3 separate regions of the Mus musculus genome follow, and regions 1 and 3 are each reported to be linked to region 2. The links are microRNA targets in miRTarBase. Many come from high-throughput screens and were not tested one by one. Region 2 holds a microRNA gene; each other region holds the end of a gene's coding sequence.

Region 1 (7,194 bases), not on the chromosome of region 2:
AAAACAAAGGGCTAAGACGGTGACACCTAAAAACACAATGTCACTTAGGGCAGGTGGCTGTGTGGTTAGGCCTTTTAACACTGTACTCAGGGAATCCAGGGAAAGCCTCCAAGAGCTATGGAGCTGAGTCTGACCAGGACCTGGGAGAGCAGCGCCCCAGGACCTCTGCTGGCATCAGACTTTTCCCTCCAGATAAAGGACTGCCTGGTCCATCAGATGGGGGCAGGGCTGGCAAACACAGTGCAGAAAAACAAGAGGAGCTGCAGTATCTGAACTCCAGCAATAGGCCTCAGTCTCGTTAACACCTGGGACACTCCTCAGCTGGAACACAAGTTCCTAGACACTACTAACAGAGTCTGGGAATCTCCTGGGTCATGTGAGCCAATGCCACTCAATCAAGGTGAAGCACACACACACGCGCGCGCGCGCGCGCACACACACACACACACACACACACACACACACACATACTCCCAACTCCCTGTGTCCATTCAGAAAACTGAATTAAATCTAGAACAAACATTCACATCACCTGTCCTCAACGGTCACTTGCTCTAACCTGTTCCTTTAAGAAAGAAAACCCAGGTGAAGGTGGCGCATGCCTTTAATCCCAGCACTTGGGAAGCAGAGGCAGGCAGATCTCTGAGTTCGAGGTCAGCCTGGTCTTCAGAGCAAGTTCCAGAACAGTCAGGGCTACACAAAGAAACCCTGTCTCAAAACAACAACAAAACAAAACAACCCAGACAGACAGACGGACGGAAGAGATGGAATGGCTGTGCTGTCAGACACAGGCAGCTCCTTTAGGTTTGTGGCTGAGGCACTCAGCTTCAGGCTTACTTTCTCTATTCTGCTCTATTCTGCAGTCGTCCATCCGTGGAGGAACCGAGGGTTCCTGAGATGTACAACAGACTACAGAACGTGGCTGGGGAGAGCAGGGTCCAGAGCGAGCCAGGCCCCAGGAGACGCCCCACCATGTCAGAGCAGCCAGCCCTTTTCCTGTGGGCAGTCTCAACCACGGGGAAAAGAACAGAAGTGACAAACAGCCTCACATCATCCTTCAGTCAGGCTGGCCTCAATGCTGTGGGCTCTTACCACTGCACCACTGAAGTGCTTCTCTTGGGAGGACAACGTGCTCACTTTACAGAACACAAACACCAACTAGGTCCAAGCAGTGAAGAGTGTGGTGGCTGAATACCCAGCAGCCCACCAGTGTGGGCCAAACTCGCTGAGCTCAGTTTAAAAGAACAAAAAAACTACCATTTATTGAGTGCTTACTATGTGCCAGGCACCTTGCTAAATGCTTACATGCGTTAGCTCACTAAATCCTCACAGCGGCTGGTTGGAAGTGAAGGCTGCCCGCAGCCTATAGCCTGACCAGATAGAGCACTACCTAAGCCTCAAGTCTTTACATTGTTCTCAATCTCTAGCACAGAACTTCAGTTTTCCCATCTGTAAGATGGGCTAATACCACCTCGCCAGAGCTGCTTGTGGATTAAAGGAGATAATGCATGCAAGCCCTTGGCACTGTGTCTGGCACATATTAAGCACTGTATGATTGCAATCATTAGTAACACACTGTTGCTACTTCATTAGCTGAAGAGTAAGATAAAGAGCCAAGCAGAGAGTCACCTGAAAAAAGGAGAAGTGAGGACAGGGTCTTCAAACAGCCAATGGATTTGAGGATCACTGGCCATAAAACTCTGGCATATTGTGCCCTTCTAGACTCAACATCGTCCCTCTGTCCTAAAGCCCTAAGAGGTCAGCGTCCAAAGCACACCCTCTAAAGGGCCCCCAACACCAGGGTCTTTTGACCTTTGCAGAAAAATAGAGAGTGGCTTGCCCAGGAAAGCAGCAGCCCAGTGATAATGGCCTCCACCCACAGGACAGCACAGAGCCCAGGTAATGTCGCTATATCAACCTGAAGAGAGGGAAGCTAGAGTACATAGAAAGGTGGACCGCATTCTCCTGAGCATGGACTCACCCTGCAAGAATATGAGTGGACTACCCAGGACACAGCAGATGAGCCTAGCAAAGCCTCAAATAAGAACCCTCGTCTGCCACTTGCCTAACCCCGGGCACACCCCTGGAAGTGGCCCACTCAACAAAGACTGAGTCCGGAAGCAGAAGCTAATACTCTTTAAAGATGCAGAGCAACTGTGAGGAGAGTGATAAGGGGAGTCTTTTACCCAAGCGGAGGAGTCTGAACCAACAATTAGCCTCCTCTCCAGCAGCACACAGCTCCTTCTGGGAGCTCCAGACAGAATGCGCCCATAGTTGACTGTCTTCTACTGTGTCTACACCAGGCCCCTGGCCAGCCTCTTAGGCCTTCCTTCTCATCCTGCCATGGAAGGAGCAAGAACCCTGGCTGCACAGGGACCTGCCCTCCTCCCCATCAAAGCGCAGCACGCACATAAGCACAGTATGCAGGAGTGGTAGGCACAGCCAGGAATTACTCTAAAGACAAAGGCAACATGGCCTTAGACGTTACTAACACAAGTTTCAGTTGTGACATCACACACTGGTAACGAGGAAAAGGCTTTCCTGGAAATCTACCTCAGGCTGACTCCACGAGGAACACTTGACTGCCACACAGAACTTCGCGTGAGATGCTCTGTCCTGAGTCCTTAGGTCCCTCCTCCTCCCAGCTCCATCAACAGCAAGGACTGACCTTGGCTTGCCAATCGGTGAACTGAGGGATCCCTTCAGAGCAGGTCCCAGCCAACCCAACAATTAGGCCAACATATTCTCTTGAAATGTCCTGCTCAAGTTTTCTTGTATAATACAGGCTAGGTTACAGGATGAAAGCAAGCAGGGGCAAAATCCATAAAAACGGTTCCACAGTCCACCTGTGTGAGATTACATGGTATATTTCACACCTCTGGACACCGGCTCACACACACTACAGCACATTAAGAATACATTTTAAATGCGGTTATAAAGCAGAAACTAAAAGTCTGAGAATGTGAAATAGGCTCTGTGTGTGTGTGTGTGTGTGTGTGTGTGTGTGTGTGTGTGTGTTTGTACATGCGTGTGTGCACCCTGCACATTCTCTCCCAACTTCCTTATGGGACTTCACTTTCAGAAGACACAATGGGAACTTTTTTGACACTGAAGTGGTTAAGGGGTGAGAAACGTACACACAAAGGGAACACAGTTTTCCTGAGAACGACCATGAGTAGAACTCACCAGGAAGACACCCTGGCTTGTTCTCATGTCAGGCTGGTTTCTGGGACCAAATCTTTACTTCACCAGTTCTAAGCTAACAGCCATCTAAGCAGTGCCCAGGACTGGCCTGGTCAGGGCTCCAAGGCCTGCAGGAAGGAACACTGCAGTATTTCCCGGGTTGGGGCCTCGGGGAGTAGCTACTAACCCTGTCCCACAGGCACACTTTGAGATGGGGACTTTATGGTTCCACCCCATGGCTCTCACCTGAGACATCTCAGAGGCTGTGAGAACAGATGGCACACAGGCTGGCAAGCAGGAAAACTGCACAGTGTTTATGCTCACACAGCGGGAAACATAAAACCACACAACAAGTGACAAACACGGGACTCCTGACAAGGAAAAGCACGAACACTTTATTTCTGACACAACAAGATGAGTGTAAAGCAAGTTATGTGACCCACTGAGATCTGTGCGGTGCTGAGAAAGCAGTCTCTGGGCCTGCCTGCTTACTGGAACAAACAACACGCTATACAATCACAGGGTGGCACAATCGCAGGGTGGCACTGTTCTCCTGGCTACCTGACTGGGAAATTCTCCTCTTTCACAAGACTGGAGAACTCAGAATAGAAACCTGTGGCTGGCAGCTCCAATGAGCACTGGGTTTCAGTGTCTTAGGACACCAGCTTCCTCAAGCCTCAGCTGCTGCTGCCCGAGCGTGAGTTTTGGCTCCTGGGGCGCTGGGGTGTGGTGTGCCCTTCTCTACCTAGTTTAGTGATCCAAGGCCATTTTTCTATCAGAAGTGCAGTGTTGCTCCTAATCTCCACTGAGAATCTTAAGGAGCAATTGTAAAATACACCTCAGTGTATTTCCTTTTCCGGGTGCCCATGACATGACTTAATAGCAACAGGGGCTGAGAGTGACACGACCGTCTCCATGGAGTTGCCGAATTGGTGAACTTTGAGGGCAAGTCAGAGGACAGCCCTAAGGGCAAAGCTCCCACTAGGGGCCTCATGGCCAGAACCAAACTGAAGGCAGCAACACTGTGTTCAGTGCGGCCTGGGAGCTGAGAACAAAAATCCCCAATGCGGACAAGTCAGTCAAAGCTGAGAGACAAGGAGCTGCCCGCCCCGCCCCGCCCCCGTGCGCACAGCGGACACTCTGAGGGCTGGCTGAGTGTTGGAGGCCACAGGAAGACTAATCTGAAAACAAATTAGCACAGACCACGGTACTTGGGGAAGTCACTGCAGCCTCTCAGCGGTGGGCACACCGAGCAGGGCTGTGGGTTAGTTACCACTCTTGGGGAATAAGTTCCTTCCCTGCCAACTGCTCCTTTCCATGTCAAGCTCAACCTATTAGGAAGGGAAAGAATCACAGCTTACACAAACCCCAGCAGAAGGTCCCCAGGAAAGTACAAACTACAGCTACACCGGTCACATTTGATAAAGTGGACACTGAGTCTTGAAGAGCCAAGCCTCTTGACAGATTAGGCCGGCCACAGTTCTAAGCAGGATGTAGGGATTCTGAGGACGTTTGGGTATGACTAAAATCATGTAGGAAACAAGGTGACTTTTAAACAGACACACATACGCTCATCTCGAGAATACTATATACACAACACAGCAGCAACACAAGTGGGCTTCCAGGCAAAGGGTGTCTGAGCAAAAGTCCTCTGCTCCCCACCTCTTAGGGCTCCCCCAGAAGGACTCAGCACAGCAGCAAACCCGCGGCACAACCACAGAGGCCTCGACTCTAAAAGGTGCGGTCTACAGGACCACCCTCTAGAGGCCACTGTGCCTGGCTGGGGCAGAGAGGGCTGGGACAGTGCCCCCTGCTGCACACATCTGGAATATGTAAGGGCTTCTTTTCCATACTTCATAAATTCTTCATGCTTTCTGAGAAAAAGAAGTCTGAAATCTTCTCTCAGTCTATATGGTGAAAGCAAACTACATAAGCAAAGCTCACCTGCCCTCTGCAGAATTTTGGCTTGGACAGATGTTCATCTGATCAGAAAGCCTCTCCCTCACAGCTCTACAGAGGGCAGCCCCCACTGCTCTCACAGCTCTACAGAGGGCAGCCCCCACTGCTCTCACAGCTCTACAGAGGGCAGCCCCCACTGCTCTCACAGCTCTACAGAGGGCAGCCCCCCACTGCTCTCACAGCTCTACAGAGGGCAGCCCCCCACTGCTCTCACAGCTCTACAGAGGGCAGCCCCCACTGCTCTCACAGCTCTACAGAGGGCAGCCCCCACTGCTCTCAGACAGAGATGCCTGCAGAAGCCCCAACGAGAGGTGTCAAGGACAGCAAAAGCGTGGAGCCCGTGAAGGCCCGTGCAGGTGGGAAAGCCCTCAACTCATCACACACAGATCAATGTATGATCTCTCGCACAGCCCAGAAACAACTGGATGGGCAGGGGTTAGAGCCACCAAGCAGACACCCTGAGCTGGGCAACACTGCCCTTCATGTTGCTCAATACTTGTACTTCAGAAACCCAAATGGTTCTTTCCTGTGACTTCTTTGCAACTCAAAGCTACAGCTTACTCACTGCCCACACTATAAACAGACAGTATATACAGATTAAAAACCACACACGCACAAAAAGGAAAAAGAAAAAAAAATGACGGTGGTGAGTTGAAGCTTTTCATTATCTAAGTCACAGCAGCTGGGCGGCCTTGGCGACTGGCCCCCACTCCATCCTGCTCCAGCTCTCTGGGCCCCAGGTGGACTCTACTCATCTTCCAAGGCAGATGTCAGAATCCCCTTGTCAGTTAGGTGAGACTTGAGCGTGTTGAAGATGTGAAGCTGCTGATCTGGCCGCAACGTCAGAAACTGCTGGATCAGTTTGCTTGGGTTTGGACCCCTACAACAGAACATAAGGCACCCCTGAGCAGGGGCCAGCTGCCTCGCTGGCCCAGTTACCCATGGGGTGCTATGAGCCCTGGATTCACTATTAGTGGAGGGAGAGAGACCTCAGAGGATTTGTAAACACTCATGCTTTCAAAGCCCACTCAGCTGGATCCGGTGGAATATCTGGATCCGGTGGAGTAGTTCCGCACCTGATAAAGCTGGCGATGTACACATTGACAAAGGTGGCCATCAGGTACTGGCAGTCAAAGCGATCCATGATGCCTCCATGACCGGGAATGGTATTGGCAAAATCCTGTTAGAGGAAAAGGAAGGAAGGATGGGCCTGGGCTCACCAACAACCAAACTCCAGACTAATGGATCCACCCATGACCAAAACCCTGCTGGGCAGAGAAGGTGATGGACAGAGGCATACAACCAAATGCCCAGGTGATCACAGGACAGGACTGCAAATTACAACGCGGTCTCTGGTTGAAAGAAGCACTAGCAAACCAGATACTTGCACTTTCATTTACTGTCCCCCAAATTCAGCACATGGGTAAAGAAAAGCACACAGTAAGTGCAGGGGCGTGACCTGGTATGAGGGGTGCAAGCTGATGGAGCAGGGCGGGGAAGAGATGGGCGACCAGGAGTGAAATGGGAGAGGCAGGTGGGGCAGAGTTCCCCTACTTTGATTTTAAAGGCCCGTTTGAATCCACTGGCGAAGAACCCTCCGAAAGGGCCGATGAGCGAGGCGAAGGTGGAGAGGGCGATGCTGTGGATCTGGAAAGGGTACATCCTCACCGTTTTCTGAGGAGAAGGAGTGGAACCAAAGTCAGCAAGTGTGCATGTCTGGCTTCTTACAGTTAATTCAGAGCTTCATAAAACAAGGTCTCCATTTTTTTCAATCAACCAAAAGACTGCAGGGCTGGAGAGTTGGTCTGGTGGTCAGGACCACCTGCTGTTCCAGCAAAGAACCTGGGTTGTTTCTAACACACATGGTGGCTCACAACCATCTAGAACTCTATTTCAAGGACACACGAACACACTCACCCAAAACATTCATACATCTAAAGAGACTGAGTATTAAAAAAAAAAAAGGAGAAAGACAGAAAGAAAGGGGGGTAAGGAAGGATGAAAGACAGACAGACAGACAAAGACAGACAGAAAGAAAAAGACAGAAAGAGA
Region 2 (7,194 bases):
CACTCCCCCCCTCCCGCTCCCCTCCCCAGCTCCAAGTCGGGGGCATTGTTGGGGGCTGGGAATACTGCTTGCTTTGCAGCCTGACTCCTTCCTTCGGGTCTTTTGCTACCCCTCCCCCACCTCCACTCTGCAGAGTGAAGGCAGAATGTTTGTGCCCTAGAAACCAAATCTTTACAATCCTCATCTCAGCACTTGCCTTCATTTCCTCTGTTCACTTACGGCCCCAACTGCTTTCATAGATTTGTTGTTTACAACTTTGAGAGATAAGTAAGGCAGACAAAGTTTCGAGAGACCTGAGGATTCTGAAGATGAAACCTGGGAAACTGCATCATGCAGACTTCATGCTGTGCCAGGTAACATTCCTGCCTGGCCATCAGAAGCTTACACCATAGTGATTAGGACAGAAAATGGAGCTGAACTAGTGTGTTTGGTTAGAAAAGGTCTAGTTGAAACTGTCTAGTCCTAAGAAGGACGAGTGAGAGTCTAACTGCTGGACACTTCCTAACTGAGGCTCAAGATTGACTTCATGATTAAGTAATGACTGTAAGTCACCTACCCATGCATGATTCAATGTGTACAAGCTTAAAAATTGTAAAGTGAATTCACTTTAAAGCTTTGATCCTTTCTATAGACTCAAGTAAATTAAGGGAGCAAATATGAACTAACCATAGAGATTAATTTAGTGGCATCCTCAAAAGAACGTTTTTAGTCATTGTGAATAATCATAAAAACTACCTAGAAACTTAGAAACATTCTTAAGATAACAAGCTTTTAAAAATCAAGGCCACAGAATTACACTAACTCTGGTGGCTGAAAGTAGAGTAGAAACTGGAAAGAAACTGCAAAACAAAGAGACTTTTTAAAAACAGAATTTGTAGTAGGTTGGTTAGCTGCTTATTTGTTTTGTTTTTTTTTCCCCATCTTCACAGTTTTGCTGTTTCTTTGTTTTGTTGTGCTTTGATTTGTGTCCCATTGTGAAATGCTACTCGCTAAAAGGTCTTTAAGGGTACTGGGAGATCCAGAAATTTGAGGTTACACATGCAGGGATCTCAGACGTCTCGGGGATCATCATGTCACGAGATACCACTGTGCCCTTGTGACAGATTGATAACTGAAAGGTCTGGGAGCCACTCCTCTTCCTAAGAATTGGTGGGGTGAGTATTACAGAGATGAGAGGTCAGGAGAGGACTGAGCCCTAGGCAAGGAGGAAAGGGGTTGCCATGGAGTGGGGGAGGGTATGGGTTGTGTTTTTATAGAATGAGAAGGGTTTTATTAATTTGCATTTCTATTCAGTCCACTGAAGCCTAGACAGGACATATGGTTTTATATATAGGCTAAAATATTAAAACTATGTTTTTCCTCAAACAAGAAAAACATTAGCTGTAAGCTTTAGAAAAACAGGTTACCTTAAAAATGTGGAGTCATATAAATAGCCATGAAGATAAATATACAAGCCACGGAAAGTCACGGAAAATGAAAAAACATCAGGATGTTTATTACTATTTATTTATTTATTTATTTATTTTTGAGGCAAGATCTTATGTTACCCAGACTCAAACTTGTGTAGCAGAGGCTCATGTTGAATTCCTTCCCCTCCTAATTCCCCCTCCCAAGGGCTGGCATTATAAGTGTATGCCATCATACCTGCTTGCAATTCTTTTTTTTTTTTTTTTTTTTGAGACTAGGCCTCACTAACTTGCTCATGCTGGCTTTAAATCACTCTCTAGGCCTGCCAGGAGGAATCTGCATCTGTGGCTCATTTGCCTCACCATCTATGTCACTGGGGTTACCACCTCCCTTCACTTCAGTCATTTTGAGGATAAAATGACTTATTAATAGTAAAGGGTTGCATAAATAAAATATGCTCTTCTAAGACAATGTGATAGGATGCTATCATTAAGATTGATATTTCTGAAAATAATTTTTGTGACATAAAGATGTGCCACAAACACTAATAAAAAGCGTTTAATGATAAACATGCAAAATATTTTCTTCTCCGTTTTAATTTTACATACATGGGATCAATATACAGATATAAGGCTAAGAGAACAGATCAAAATATTATAGTTATCCTGAGTTGTGCTTTAATGTTATTGAACAAATATGCTGGGGACTGATGCTGTGGTTGAATGATAGAGGAAGGAGAAAGGCAAACCAAGATGCTGAACTATTTTTGCGATGTGTTCCTAATATGTACTATGAGTATATTGGGGATGCTTTGCATTCATGGTTCTGCATCCATCATATGGACAGTCACCTCCAAGCTGTAGCACCACCAGTGACCAAAGAGAGATACTGAGCTGTTTTTGCGATGTGTTCCTAATATGTGCTATAATTATATTGGGAACATTTTGCATAAATAGCTTTGTGTCAATACACAGGCAAAAGGTTGGAAGAAAGAAGCTGCAAGTCTAACCATAGTTGTTTATGGTTTGTTTTTATAATAGGAATCAGATACAGAATTATTTTTGCAGTATGTTCCTGAATACATAACATAAGCGTATTGGGAACATTTTGCATGCATAATTTTGTATCAATATATGGGGGGAAGACTAGGAAGAAACATGACAAAACTTGAACAGAACTTATGTCTCTGGTATTACAGGTGATGTTTATTGTTGTCTTTATATTTTTATTGTTTTTTTTTACCAATTATTGTGTAAACAAAATGTTTTTCTTTTATAGCAAAAGAATAAACTTATTTTATTTTAGTACTAGAGTCTACATTGATTTTGGAGGGTGGGGTGGGACTTGAAACAAGGTCACCTAATGTAATTAACTGTGGCTATAGCCTCAGTATATAGTGAGGCTGGCCTCACTCTCATAGAGAACTAGTTGCCTGCCTCTGCCTCCCAGAGTGCTGGAATTAATGGCAAGTGCCACATACTTGGCTTTACACTGATTTTTTTTTTTTTTTAATCGTGAAACCCTGACCCATGTATAGAGAAAGATTTCTATGCAGGCAGTGGTTGGCCTAGACCACACTTTCCAACTTGTCTAGGAAAAGCCTACAGGACCACCATAAGGTCTGCCCTTCATACGTACATGTGCGCAAAAGACTCAAATACACTTTTTAAAAACTGATAATTATATTTGAGTTTTCGGGAGGTAGATCCTTAGGAATCTAACTGAATTGGGGAGCCCCAGGTCCCAGTGAGAGACCTTGTCTCAAAAAACCAAGGTGGGGATCTCTTGCGGAATGATATCTGAGGTTGACTCCTGGCCTCTATGCATTCACACACATGTCCAAGTATAAAAACACATTTACACACACAAACATCACACACTAAAAGAAAGAAATAAAATAAAAACACAACTGTAACGGCCAGGTGTGGTAGCTCAAGCCTTGTAATCAGAGCTCCAGGAGCTGGGGGAGGGTGTTTGCTCTCACTCTGTAGTGAGAGCCTCTCTCAAACCTCTGGGTCCACACAGAGTAATACCAGTGACTGCTAAGCAGACCGATGGCTCTTATCTAATCAAACACTCTAAACACAGAGAGAGTTGAAAGGGGCTTATTTTCTCCCAGGAGCAATTCAGGAAGGTGGCACTTGGATGATTGCTCCTGGCCTCAAGACACACTGGCTAGTTTGGGAAATGCCTGAGCCAGGGAAAGACCTTCCAGAAGGCCCACTCATGAATGACAGATGCCAGCAACTGGCTGTAGTTCCCCATCTACTGTCCATCCATCTAAATCCCTGGATGTTCCTTTGAGTACAGGAGACCTCCCAGTTCAGCTTTCCCTCTTCTTTCTTAGTAAGAGAGATGGAACTATATCTGGGGACTTAGTACAACCATGGTTTGACTGGTTCCTCTCAGGAGTATTTTTGGTTTCTTGGGATTTTGTTACTGTTGTGCCATTTTATTGGCATTTGTGGGTATGTGAGGTGGAGGGCTATGTGCACTCTGACTCACTTGTGGACATCACAGGACGTGTGGGAGTCAGTTTCCTCCTTCCACCATGTAGATTCCTGGGATTGAACTCAGGTCCCTTAGCTAAGGGGCAAGCTCCATTACCCACTGAGCCATCTTGCTATCCCCTCCTAAAGGCTTTATTAATGTTTCTCAGATTTGACACATTAGAAGAGGAGCTAGAGTCCACTCTGAGCCATTTATAAACACTCCAGGAAAACTCTCCCCCAAGAGCTAAAGCACTGTAGCAAAATCCGTATATTCCCTCAAGCAGACCTAGTGCAGTGGGAGAGATGCAGTCATTCACAAAGGTACTGGGAGATCATTCATCCCACAGAGCCTCACGCCCCACCCGTCTGCTTTAGAGCAACCACACAGCCAGACATATCCTTGGCAATGGGTTTTTCATAAACATTTGACTCTGCCACATTTAGTTAGAAACATTTTTCCTGGGAAGGGAGGATAGGAGAGAAGTGGGAGTTAAGATGAACCGGAGCCAGAGAGACTTTGGATGCACAAATCCCTTGCTCTGTATGGTTGAAAGCAGAAATAGGCAGGGTCTTGTGACCTTCTTCCATGCCAGGCCCAATCTCACAGAAAACTTCCTTCTACCCTGAATGATGAAAGCGACCTCCTTCCACATAAACCTCACTCTGGTCCTTGCTAGGCAAGGATTATGAAAAGGGAGAAGAGCCAAGGTGGGACCCTTCCTGAAATGGGAAGTCTCACCTCTGGGGCGGAGAAAGTAATAACTCCATCAATTTAATCACTGAGCTCCAGGCTCTCTCATTTAGCAGTGGACTAAAGTGGAGACTTGCATTTCCGAATCAGAATATCCTAGAATGTGGCGGATGGAGACAGCATGCCTCTTAGTTGGGAGGATGCCAAGCGGCCCCCGGAGTGGGGGTGGTGCAGAAGGGGGGAGGGTTTCCCTTTCTAACAAACCAGTCCTCCCTCGGTGCTCAGAAGAGGAAATGCAGTTGCAGGGAGAGGAAATAACTCCCAGCTAAGTCTTGCAAAGAACTGGTGGCCAACTTGAGTCTTGATCTACAGGCCTTTTTCTACTATAATACACTGGACCTAAAGGACAGACAGGGGTGACTTTAGAAGACAGTGGGAGGCATGTGGGACTTGAGGAACACCTTCAAAGGTGGGTGGGGCTGGAAGGGCCAGAGAAAATGAGGGAGTGAATTTCAAGCAGAGGAAGATGACAGGGGCACAGGCAGAGGCAGGAACAGATGGCTTCTGTCACAGAGCAGTCAGGAGCGTCTGGAGGAACCTGTCAAGGACAAATCCAGTTTCCAAATTCGGGCTGGGCTATACCCTGAGGGTGGAACTGTATCTTGGGGAGTGGGGAGTGCAAAATGCCCCCAGAAAACGATGGCACGAATTCCCAGAATGCAGACTTGATTCAGTAGTGAGAGATAAATTTACAGCAGTTTCTCTATTCAAAGAAGGGCAGATTAAAAAGAAAAAAAAAGCAGCTAGGCTCTCAAAGACCATTTCCAACTTTTGTATTTGTCTTGGGCTTCTCCAGCTCCTACCAGGCCAGCTTCATCCCGAGGGGAGAATTCAGGCCCCCAACTCCAGACATTTGGCTTTCCATCTGTTACTGCTGCCAAGGCTCTAGCCTCCAGGTCTTGTAACAGTTTGGGAAGGGGCTCTTTGCCTTCATAATATATCCCTCCCCGATCATAATCATGAGACTCTGGAAAAACTGTCAGTCATAGTAAATAGCCAAGCCTCTCCCACAGGACTCCAGCAGACAATCCTAACACCTTTTCCTTTTTCTATTGATTGGCCTAGAATCAGTTCATGTGACCGTAGCCTAGCTAGTCAGTGTACTTGCTACGAATAGGTGGTGGTAGTGGTGGTGGTGGTGGTAGTTGTGCTGTTTTGAGGATTTTGAAACAGGATCTCACAATGTAGCTCTGGCTAGTCTTGAACTTGCTATTTAAACCAGGCTGGCCTCGAATTCAGAGATCCCCCTGCCTCTGCCTCCCAGTGCTGGGATTAAAGGCCCAAATCACCATGCCTGTCTTTAGATTTGTATCTGTCCATTAAATACTGAATCAGAGAATCTCTCTTTTGGGGGGCAGTTTTTACCTGTAGAATTGTATCTAGCAGAGTCCTCCTTCTCATCTCTGAATTCTTGCCTCAGTTTCCTCTTTTATAGAATGAAGATTTGACAAAGTGGTCTATCTTGCTCACCACCATAGGACAGAAAGACAAATGGCACAGAGGACAGTGGCAATGATAGAGAGTAGAGATTCGAGAGGGAGGGAGAGAAAGCAGAGAGAGGGTTAGGAACGAGAGAGGGGAAAATGGGGGAAAGGGAGAAACTGAGTCCCCAGACAGAAGCTGCCCTGTGGTCAACTCCACTGTCTCTGTCAGTTGCTACAATGTGGTTTAGACTTCTTTTAAAAACTACTTTATAGCCCGGCAGTGGTGGCCCACACCTTTAATCCCAGCACTTGGGAGGCAGAGGCAGGCAGATTTCTGAGTTCAAGGCCAGCCTGGTCTACAAAGTGAATTCCAGGACAGCCAAGGCTATACAGAGAAACCCTGTCTCGAAAAACAAACAAACAAACAAACAAACACCCAAAAACAAAACTACTTTATTCGTTCATTCAACAAACATAACTGCCATGCTCTCCTGTCCAAGGACTAAGCAGGTTGGTCTTGCTTAATTTCTGAGGTCAGGAAAGTGGAGGGATACATAGCTGTAGTGTAGCCGACCAAGCACTTTCTGTGGTAGGCTCCATTCTGGGTCCAAATATGGAAAGGAACCAAGGTGTTCTTTCCAGACCTGCTTTCCTGCTGCATAAGGGCTAGATGGAACAGTGGTGCCTGTCAAGTAATAAAAGATTTGCTACTATAAGGACGACTAAAAACAATCTCTGGGTGAAGATTACCCAGAAGAATAATAACACATTCCTTCTAAATGTCCAGATTTGAAATCATCCCTGTTCATTGTCAGTAAAAATCGAAAAGCCAAAGAGTTTTGTTTTGGGGTTTGGGGACTTTTCAATTTTTAAAAAAAAATTATTTTATTTTATTTTATAGCTGTTTTTACCCACATATATATATGTGCACCATGTATATGCCTGGCTCCTGCTGAGGTCAGAAGAAGGCATTGAATCCCCTTGAACTGGAGTTTCTGATGTCTGTGAGCCACCATGTTGGAGGTGGGAACAAAACCCAGGTCCTCTGTAAGAGCAATAAGTGCTATTGAGCCATCTGTCCAACCCCTTGTTTGTTTGTTTTTTCGGTTGCATTTTGTTT
Region 3 (7,194 bases), not on the chromosome of region 2:
ACAGTGATCCCAGCCCCAAACTGCCTTCAGTCTTCTAGCAGAGAAAATAAGCAGCTTGTTTTGAGCAAGATAACGAAGCTAAAGCATTCTCCCTGCAAAGGCAATGCTGTGGGCGCCTTAGACCTAGCCACGCCCTGTGGCTCACGGTCAAGGGGCTTTGCCTTAAGCTACAAACTCCACTTAGGGCTTTCTGCAGGCGGTGTGACAAATCGAGGGAATATTCTGTGTCCTGGGATATCACTTCCCGCCGGAACAGCTTGTGATTGGACAACCACAGAACCAGCACTGTGGAGGGGAAGTGTCGCCCCGCAGCTACACAGGCTTGTGCCTAACTCCTGTCTTTTCTTTTTCCCAGGGAGGAAGAGACAGCCGCTCTGGATCTCCCATGGCGAGACGCTGAGAGCCCTCCCCGCTCAGCCTTCCCGAATCCTGCCCTCGGCTTCTTAATATAACTGCCTTAAACTTTTAATTCTACTTGCACCGATTAGCTAGTTAGAGCAGACCCTCTCTTAATCCCGTGGAGCCGTGATCGCGGTGGGGCCAGGCCCACGGCACCCCGACTGGTTAAAACTATTCGTCCCTTTTCGTTTGAAGATTGAGTTTTCTCGGGGTCTTCTCAGCCCTGACTTGTTCCCCGTGCACCTTGTTCGACTCCGGAGGTTCAGGTGCACGGACACCCTTCCAAGTTCACCCCTACTCCATCCTCAGACTTTTCACGGTGAGGCACACCCCTCCAGCTTCCGTGGGCACTGCGGATAGACAGGCACACCGCCAAGGAGCCAGAGAGCATGGCGCAGGGGACTGTGTGGTCCAGGCTTCCTTTGTTTTCTTCCCCCTAAAGAGCTTTGTTTTTCCTAACAGGATCAGACAGTCTTGGAGTGGCTTATACAACGGGGGCTTGTGGTATGTGAGCACAGGCTGGGCAGCTGTGAGAGTCCAGAGTGGGGTGGCCCTGGGGACACTTCCAGGCCAGCTATCCCCTGCACCCCACCAGCTGATTTCGAGCGTGGCAGAGGGAAGGAAAGGGGCGAGTGGGCTGGGCAATGGCCCCAACAGGAAACGGGGACTTAGGAGAACACGCTGGAGATATGTGTGGCCGCCAAATGTCACCATCTCTCCTCAGTGGCTCCCCAGAGCTGGTGCTTTTAAGAACCCTGTTTCCTCTCAGAGCCCAGGGAGAGTCCAAGGACATGGCGCATCTGGAAGTGGGACTGCAGGAGTTCTCTGGTGGCCTCGTGCTGTCCCTCTGGCCACTTCTCATGGTGGGGTGGTCAGCGGCAGCTCGCCATGGCAGTGCCCATTGGTACACACTAACCTCGGTGGAAAAATAACCATTCCCTGCCTCCTAGAAAGGACTCATTCTTAGCTTTAGGGGGGTTCCTGTCACTGAATCGAGTCGCTGCCCTGGATGCAGGGCTGGCCTGGGCGACGCTCCAGGGATGAGGAGCTGAGAACCCCAGTCTAATAATGTCCATCGACACCTCCTTATCCCTCTAACGTACTATGTCTTTTGATTTAGCATGCCTTCTGTAGACCTTCCAAAGAGCCCCACACTGGCACCGTCACCCCTAGGAAGGCAGGTGATGGTTGATGTAGCCCAATACTGCATCTTGTTAATCTGTTCTAACTCTGAGTAGAGTGTGGGTTTAAGATAACACCGATTAATGTATCGCCACAATAACGTGAGGGTAAGAGAAAAAGCAGGGAAGAAATTTCCAGAAAAAAACCCTCCAGATTGTCCCACGGGAGTGTTTGCCCTCCAGTGTGACTGAACGACCTTGCCCATGGCTTCGTCCAGACAGCGCAGCTGCAGTATGGCTGGACAGAAGCACCTACTATTCTTGAATATTGAAATAAAATAATAAACTTGCAATGATCTTTGCCCAGGTGTCTCATTTTGCACGGCAGCCTGTAGGCGTGAGCCCGAGTGAAGCACAGCCTCGTCGCAGGGTGGAGGGCTCTTCCTCAGGGGCACCGGGTTGCTTCACGGTGCCCTTGGGAGAATACCTCAAGGGGCACGTTGAGGAGGCCATGCATTGATAAATCAAGAAGATGGAGTAGAGGTGATGTGGGACAGTGACCCACAACACACAAGGAAAAGGATTTTCAGTCACTCTGAGGACACTTTTCAAAGCCATTGTCCTAGGAAACACTGCAGAAAAGCGGGTCACGCGCTTTATCCACGGCGGACGGGGATTAAGTGAAGCATTCTTCCCCCCTCCCCCCATTTGTCCTTTGTTTCTCTTGCCATTGATTTTGGTTATGAGACTTCTTTTTCTAAAGGATTACCCGAAATCTCTTCTCCTGTTGGTTTTGAGAGCGCTCCTGGCCCCTTTCTGAGTTTCCAAGGCAGGCTATGGAAAACCATCAGATTTGTGAGCTGTGGGAGGAAGGCTTGCCATGGGCCAACATTACAGTCTTTCTCTGGGGCATGTTGTTCCAGCACAGGGAACCAGTGCAGGTTCCTGGGGTCCACTGACTGACGGGAAACCTTACCTCCAGGGCTCAGGGGCTCACGTCTATAATTCTAGCACTCACAAGGTGGGGGCGGGAGATTGCATGAATTTGAGGCCAGCCAAAGTTATGTAATGAGTTCTAAGCAAGAGACGCTGTCTCAAAAATGCATGCCTTTAATCCTAGCGCTGGGGAAGCAGAGGTTGAGCTCTGTGAGCTTGAAACCAGCCTGATCTACAAAGTGAGTTCCAGTACAGCCAGGACACAGAAAAACCCTGTCTCCACACACACACACACACACACACACACACACACATCCACTACCACCACCACCACAACAACAACAAAACAGACAACAAAAACCCACCAGGGGCTAGAGAGTTGGTCAGCCATTAAGAGTATTGACTGCTCTTGCAGAGCATCTGGGTTTGGTTTCCAGCAATCACGTGGAGTTCACAATAGTGTGTGACTAAAGTTCCAGGAAATTTGGTACCTTCTTCTGGTCTCCGCAGGCATCAGGCACACACAAGATGCACATGCATACATGCAGGTACACACAAGATGCACATTCATACATGCAGGTGCACACAAGATGCACATTCATACATGCAGGCACACACAAGATGCACATGCATACATGCAGGTACACACAAGATGCACATGCATACATGCAGGCACACACAAGATGTACATGCATACATGCAAGTACACACAAGATGCACATACATACATGCAGGCACACACAAGATACACATGCATACATGCAGGCACACACGAGATGCACATACACACAGGCATACACTAGATAAGCACACACACACATACATGCAGGCAGGTGTTCACACACATAAAAATATTTTTACAATCTTACAAAGATAACAAAAGGCTGATGTCCAATCATCTCCTTGTCCTTTTTAGCCAACAAAATCCTCCCAAATAAAGGATCTGGAAATACAAAGATGTGTGCACTGTTTAAAGATGCATTGCTGCCGCAATCTCCATAACCTCATAGGAGCAGCTGCTCCACCGTGGTCACTCACCACCCCTGGCTCTATTTTAAAGTCTTTCCGCCATCTCGCCATCTCTCCTGCAATGAACCATGAGCTGCGGGAGAAAGGGATATAACATCCATCTCCCATTTAGGGCAGAGCATTCTGCCATCTTTTAGTCTCTGCACCATGGCCAGTTGTGGGTCTCTGCACTCATCACCCTGTGCTGGTTGGGTTTTGTCAACTTGACACAACCCTAACCATATCTTGAGAAAGAGAATCTTAATTTAGAAAATACCTCCATAGTATTGACCTGTAGGCAAGCCTGTAGGGCGTTTTACTAATAATTGATATTGTAGGGTTCTCCCTACTGTGGGCAAGTGATCCTGGATAGAAATCAGGCTGAGCAGGCCACAGGGAGCGAGGCAGTAAGCAGTACCCCTCCATGGCTTCTGCTCCAGCTCCTGCCTACAAGTTCCTAGCTTCCCTCAATGATGGACTTGTAAGTTATAAGGTGAAATTGGCCCTTTCCTCCCCAAGCTGTTTTTGGTCATGGTTGAAGAGGAAACTTCTGGTCTCTTTGGAAAGTCAGTCGTGTCAGATGATGTTTTGCTGGGGCACACAGGTGAAAGGATGTTTTGCTAAAGCAGACACGTGAAAGGCTGTGTGGTGTTTAGAAGGAATGTAACCCTGACCCCACAAACAGTAGGAGCTCGAGTGTTGGTTTGACTTGCCCACCTCACTAGTCTTCCCTAATGACACACATGTATCGGCTCACCTTACATTGCATTGCTGAGCCAAGCTTGTGGTGCCTTCATAGACAGAAACTCGCCAGAGAACCTCTTGTGGGGTTCCTGAAGCTTCTTGCTACTTCTACAGACTTGGGCAGGTTGGCCATCCTTGAGGGTTTCTTCTGTATTGAACTGCCCTTGCTAATTTGTGTGTGGTGTCTGCCAAGTAGACTGGATGCAGCCGCTGAATAATGAAGACTGAAATCGCCCCCAAAGAACTATTTCTAAACATGTCCACTTCCCTTGTATCACAATAACATTTCTTCTCCACTACTTCTGTAGAATCCAAAATAAATTCAAGACCACCCAGCCCCTTCCCCCTCTGAAGGGACTTTCCAAACTGTACTAGCAGGCCAAGTGCAGAGCCAGATAAGGAAGCTGGCTGACTAAACAATGCTGAGAAAAACCCTAAGGGCAGGCAGAGTGAGGGACTAGGCCAAAGGTAGTCACCCCATGCAAACCAACCAATGCCTGAAAGGGTTACACTTGCTACAACAATTAGAATAAGCCAGCTAGCCCTGTTGCCTAAATCTGCCCCCTACAAGGTATAAAAAGTGTGGGTTTTTTTTTTTTTTTTTTTGTTCAGGGTCTCTCCTCTTGCCTGTGTGCTGAGGGGGGGAGGCCCCAATGCATTGGAATAATTAAAAAAAAAAAAAAAACTCTGTGGTTTGCAACAATGTCGGTCTCTGTGATTTTTGTGAGTGAGGGTCTTTTGGTGGACTCCAACACTTCTGGTGGGTGGTGGGCTAGAGAGGAAGTTGAACCTTTATAAAAGTAGATTGTGAGAAATATGTGCCTACACATGGTGTTTTATCACAGGAAGAGAAACCACACCAAGATGCCATCAGCTGCAAAGAGAAGCTTCTCTGATGGGTTGAGAGAGGCACTCATCTATGGATAGAAACACAAGCCTGCACACACACAAGCCAGACAAAACCCGGGCATGGAGAAAGGTGGTGTGAGATTTCCCAGCCCTAGCCTAGTGGTAGCTGCTAAGAAAGGGAGAGCCAGTTTTCTTTTAGAGTGCTGCTTCTGGTGAGTTGACCACGCCCCAGTGGAAGACCACACATCCAAGAATATGAGAGAAACACGTATTGGACTTGTGTGAGTGTAAGAAGGCAAGATTCCCCAGCCCTCAACACCCAGCCAGGATTAGGGCTCTGCTTAGCTCCAATCACAAAGGTGGAGGTTTGACCACTCACTCAGTACCAATGAAGCTATTCCCCAGCTCAACCACCAGGGACAGTGTTCCTCTTCCGGCATAGCTGGGGCTGATTGCTGTGTCAAGGGAGGTTCATCTAGGCTCCTCAGAGCCAAAAGTCTGGTGTGAACTGCTTCAAACAGCCCAGCTGAGGATATACCTACAGGAACTGGGGCCGTTAGATGTCTTCTGACTGGTGCTAGCCATAAAGATAGTGCTATTGGTCATTTAACTGGCAGTCCCATTAGTCAAAGTAGCTGGGACAGGAACTAATTAGGTACTCAAGTTAGCCCATCCCCCAGTGTCTTCACTGTAGGGAAATGAATGTCAGAAGAAATGCTTACAACAACTCATTACTGAGCTGGGGACATGACACAGCAGGTAAAAGTGATTGCTGTCCTGCAGGACAATCTGGTTAGACCCCTGGGACTCCATAGTGGAAGAGTAAAACAGACTGAAATTTGCACTCTGACTTCCACAGTGTGTTTACACACACACACACACACACACACACACACACACACACACTACATTTAATATACAAATTTAAGAACTCCATCGACAATAATTATTTTAGTGGCTCTTAACTCCTGCCCAGTGCCCAATGCTGGCCCCATCTGTCTCATAAACATAGTAACAGTGGTAGTTAACACTCAAGGCATGAATGGGAACAGCAGCATTCAGCCATAATGATGCATGTTTATTTTTACCCAAGTATTTCTTATTCTCCTCAACCCCACACTGGGAGCTAAGACTCTACAGTACCAATGCCTCATCTTGATATTGGGATTTGCCTATTGCAGACCTTGAACAGTCACTGGAATGGCAAATGAAGTGATATTAGGTAAGAACGACCAATCAGATGCATGCTTAAGAGAACTATCTTTAAGGTCAATCATGTGAGAATACCACTATGCATGCATATATAGATTCCTAAGTGCAAAGGCAACTGAAATAAATTATCCCAATATAAAGCATTTATTTTGGGGGCTGAGGGTATAGCTAAGTTATAACTTGTTTAGTTAGTTTGCATGCACAAGCGTTAGGGTGATCTTTTGTGCACCATATAAAGATGGTCTTTGTATTATTCAAATGCTGGGTAGAATGTTGAGAGCATAGTGGACTTTGGTATTTGCACTGGCTAGTTTTGTGTCAACTTGACATAGGCTGGAGTTATCACAGAAAGGAGCTTCAGTTGGGGAAATGCTTCCAGGAGATCCAGCTGTAAGGATTTCTCAATTAGTGATCATGGGAGGAGGTCCCCATGTGGGTGATGCCATCTCTGGGCTGGTAGTCTTGGTTCCGAGAGCAGGCTGAACAAGCCAGGGGAAGCAAGCCAGTAAAGAACATCCCTCCATGGCCTCTGCATCAGCTCCTGCTTCCTGACTTGCCTGAGTTCCAGTCCTGACTTCCTTTAGTGATAAACAGCAATGTCAAAAGTGTAAGCTGAATAAATCCTTTCCTCCCCAACAAAAAAAAAAAAAAAAAACAAAAAAAAAACGACCAATCAGAATGTGCAGCCAAGGATACATTGCTTGTTGGCCATACGGTTTACACCAGTGTTTACAGTGTAAATCAGATGCCAAGGTCAGAAGGCTATGCATGCTCACCAGGTATCTATGAGGCAGGGGAGGGACCCTACTCTCCCATCTCCACTCCACTGGACTGCCCTCCATTGTGAACTATCATACAAACTGCTGGGACTCGCTATCACTTCCAGACCATGAGTATCTGCTGAATACTCTTGTAGCTCCGTGTA

What was found. Region 2 holds the annotated microRNA mmu-miR-450b-3p (AUUGGGAACAUUUUGCAUGCAU, at 2,503-2,524, shown strand). A microRNA usually pairs through its seed, bases 2 to 8, with sites in the 3' UTR of a target mRNA and lowers its output. Matches are read on the target gene's strand: a 7mer-m8 pairs with bases 2 to 8, a 7mer-A1 pairs with bases 2 to 7 and ends in A, and an 8mer does both.
Region 1: miRTarBase lists Cds2 as a target of mmu-miR-450b-3p. Seed matches in the 3' UTR shown: 7mer-m8 at 618-624.
Region 3: the mRNA of Mbp is a reported target of mmu-miR-450b-3p. The part of its 3' UTR that is shown has no 7-base or 8-base seed match.

Annotation. Positions count from the first base shown.
Region 1 is chr2:132,303,981-132,311,174 of GRCm38, reverse strand. It overlaps Cds2 (CDP-diacylglycerol synthase (phosphatidate cytidylyltransferase) 2), which reads right to left. Exons shown (of 13, transcript NM_138651.7): 11 at 6,697-6,816; 12 at 6,219-6,322; 13 at 1-6,022. The coding sequence ends at 5,890. Among named protein-coding and RNA genes, the nearest start is that of Gm46766, 44 kb to the right of the region's middle.
Region 2 is chrX:53,043,338-53,050,531 of GRCm38, reverse strand. It overlaps Mir450b (microRNA 450b), which reads left to right and starts at 2,454; the gene lies at 2,454-2,535. It overlaps Mir450-1 (microRNA 450-1), which reads left to right and starts at 2,288; the gene lies at 2,288-2,378. It overlaps Mir450-2 (microRNA 450-2), which reads left to right and starts at 2,165; the gene lies at 2,165-2,233. Mir542 (microRNA 542) reads left to right here and starts at 1,045; the gene lies at 1,045-1,129.
Region 3 is chr18:82,583,757-82,590,950 of GRCm38, forward strand. Mbp (myelin basic protein) reads left to right here. Exons shown (of 7, transcript NM_010777.3): 7 at 356-1,881. The coding sequence ends at 400. Among named protein-coding and RNA genes, the nearest start is that of Gm52337, 15 kb to the left of the region's middle.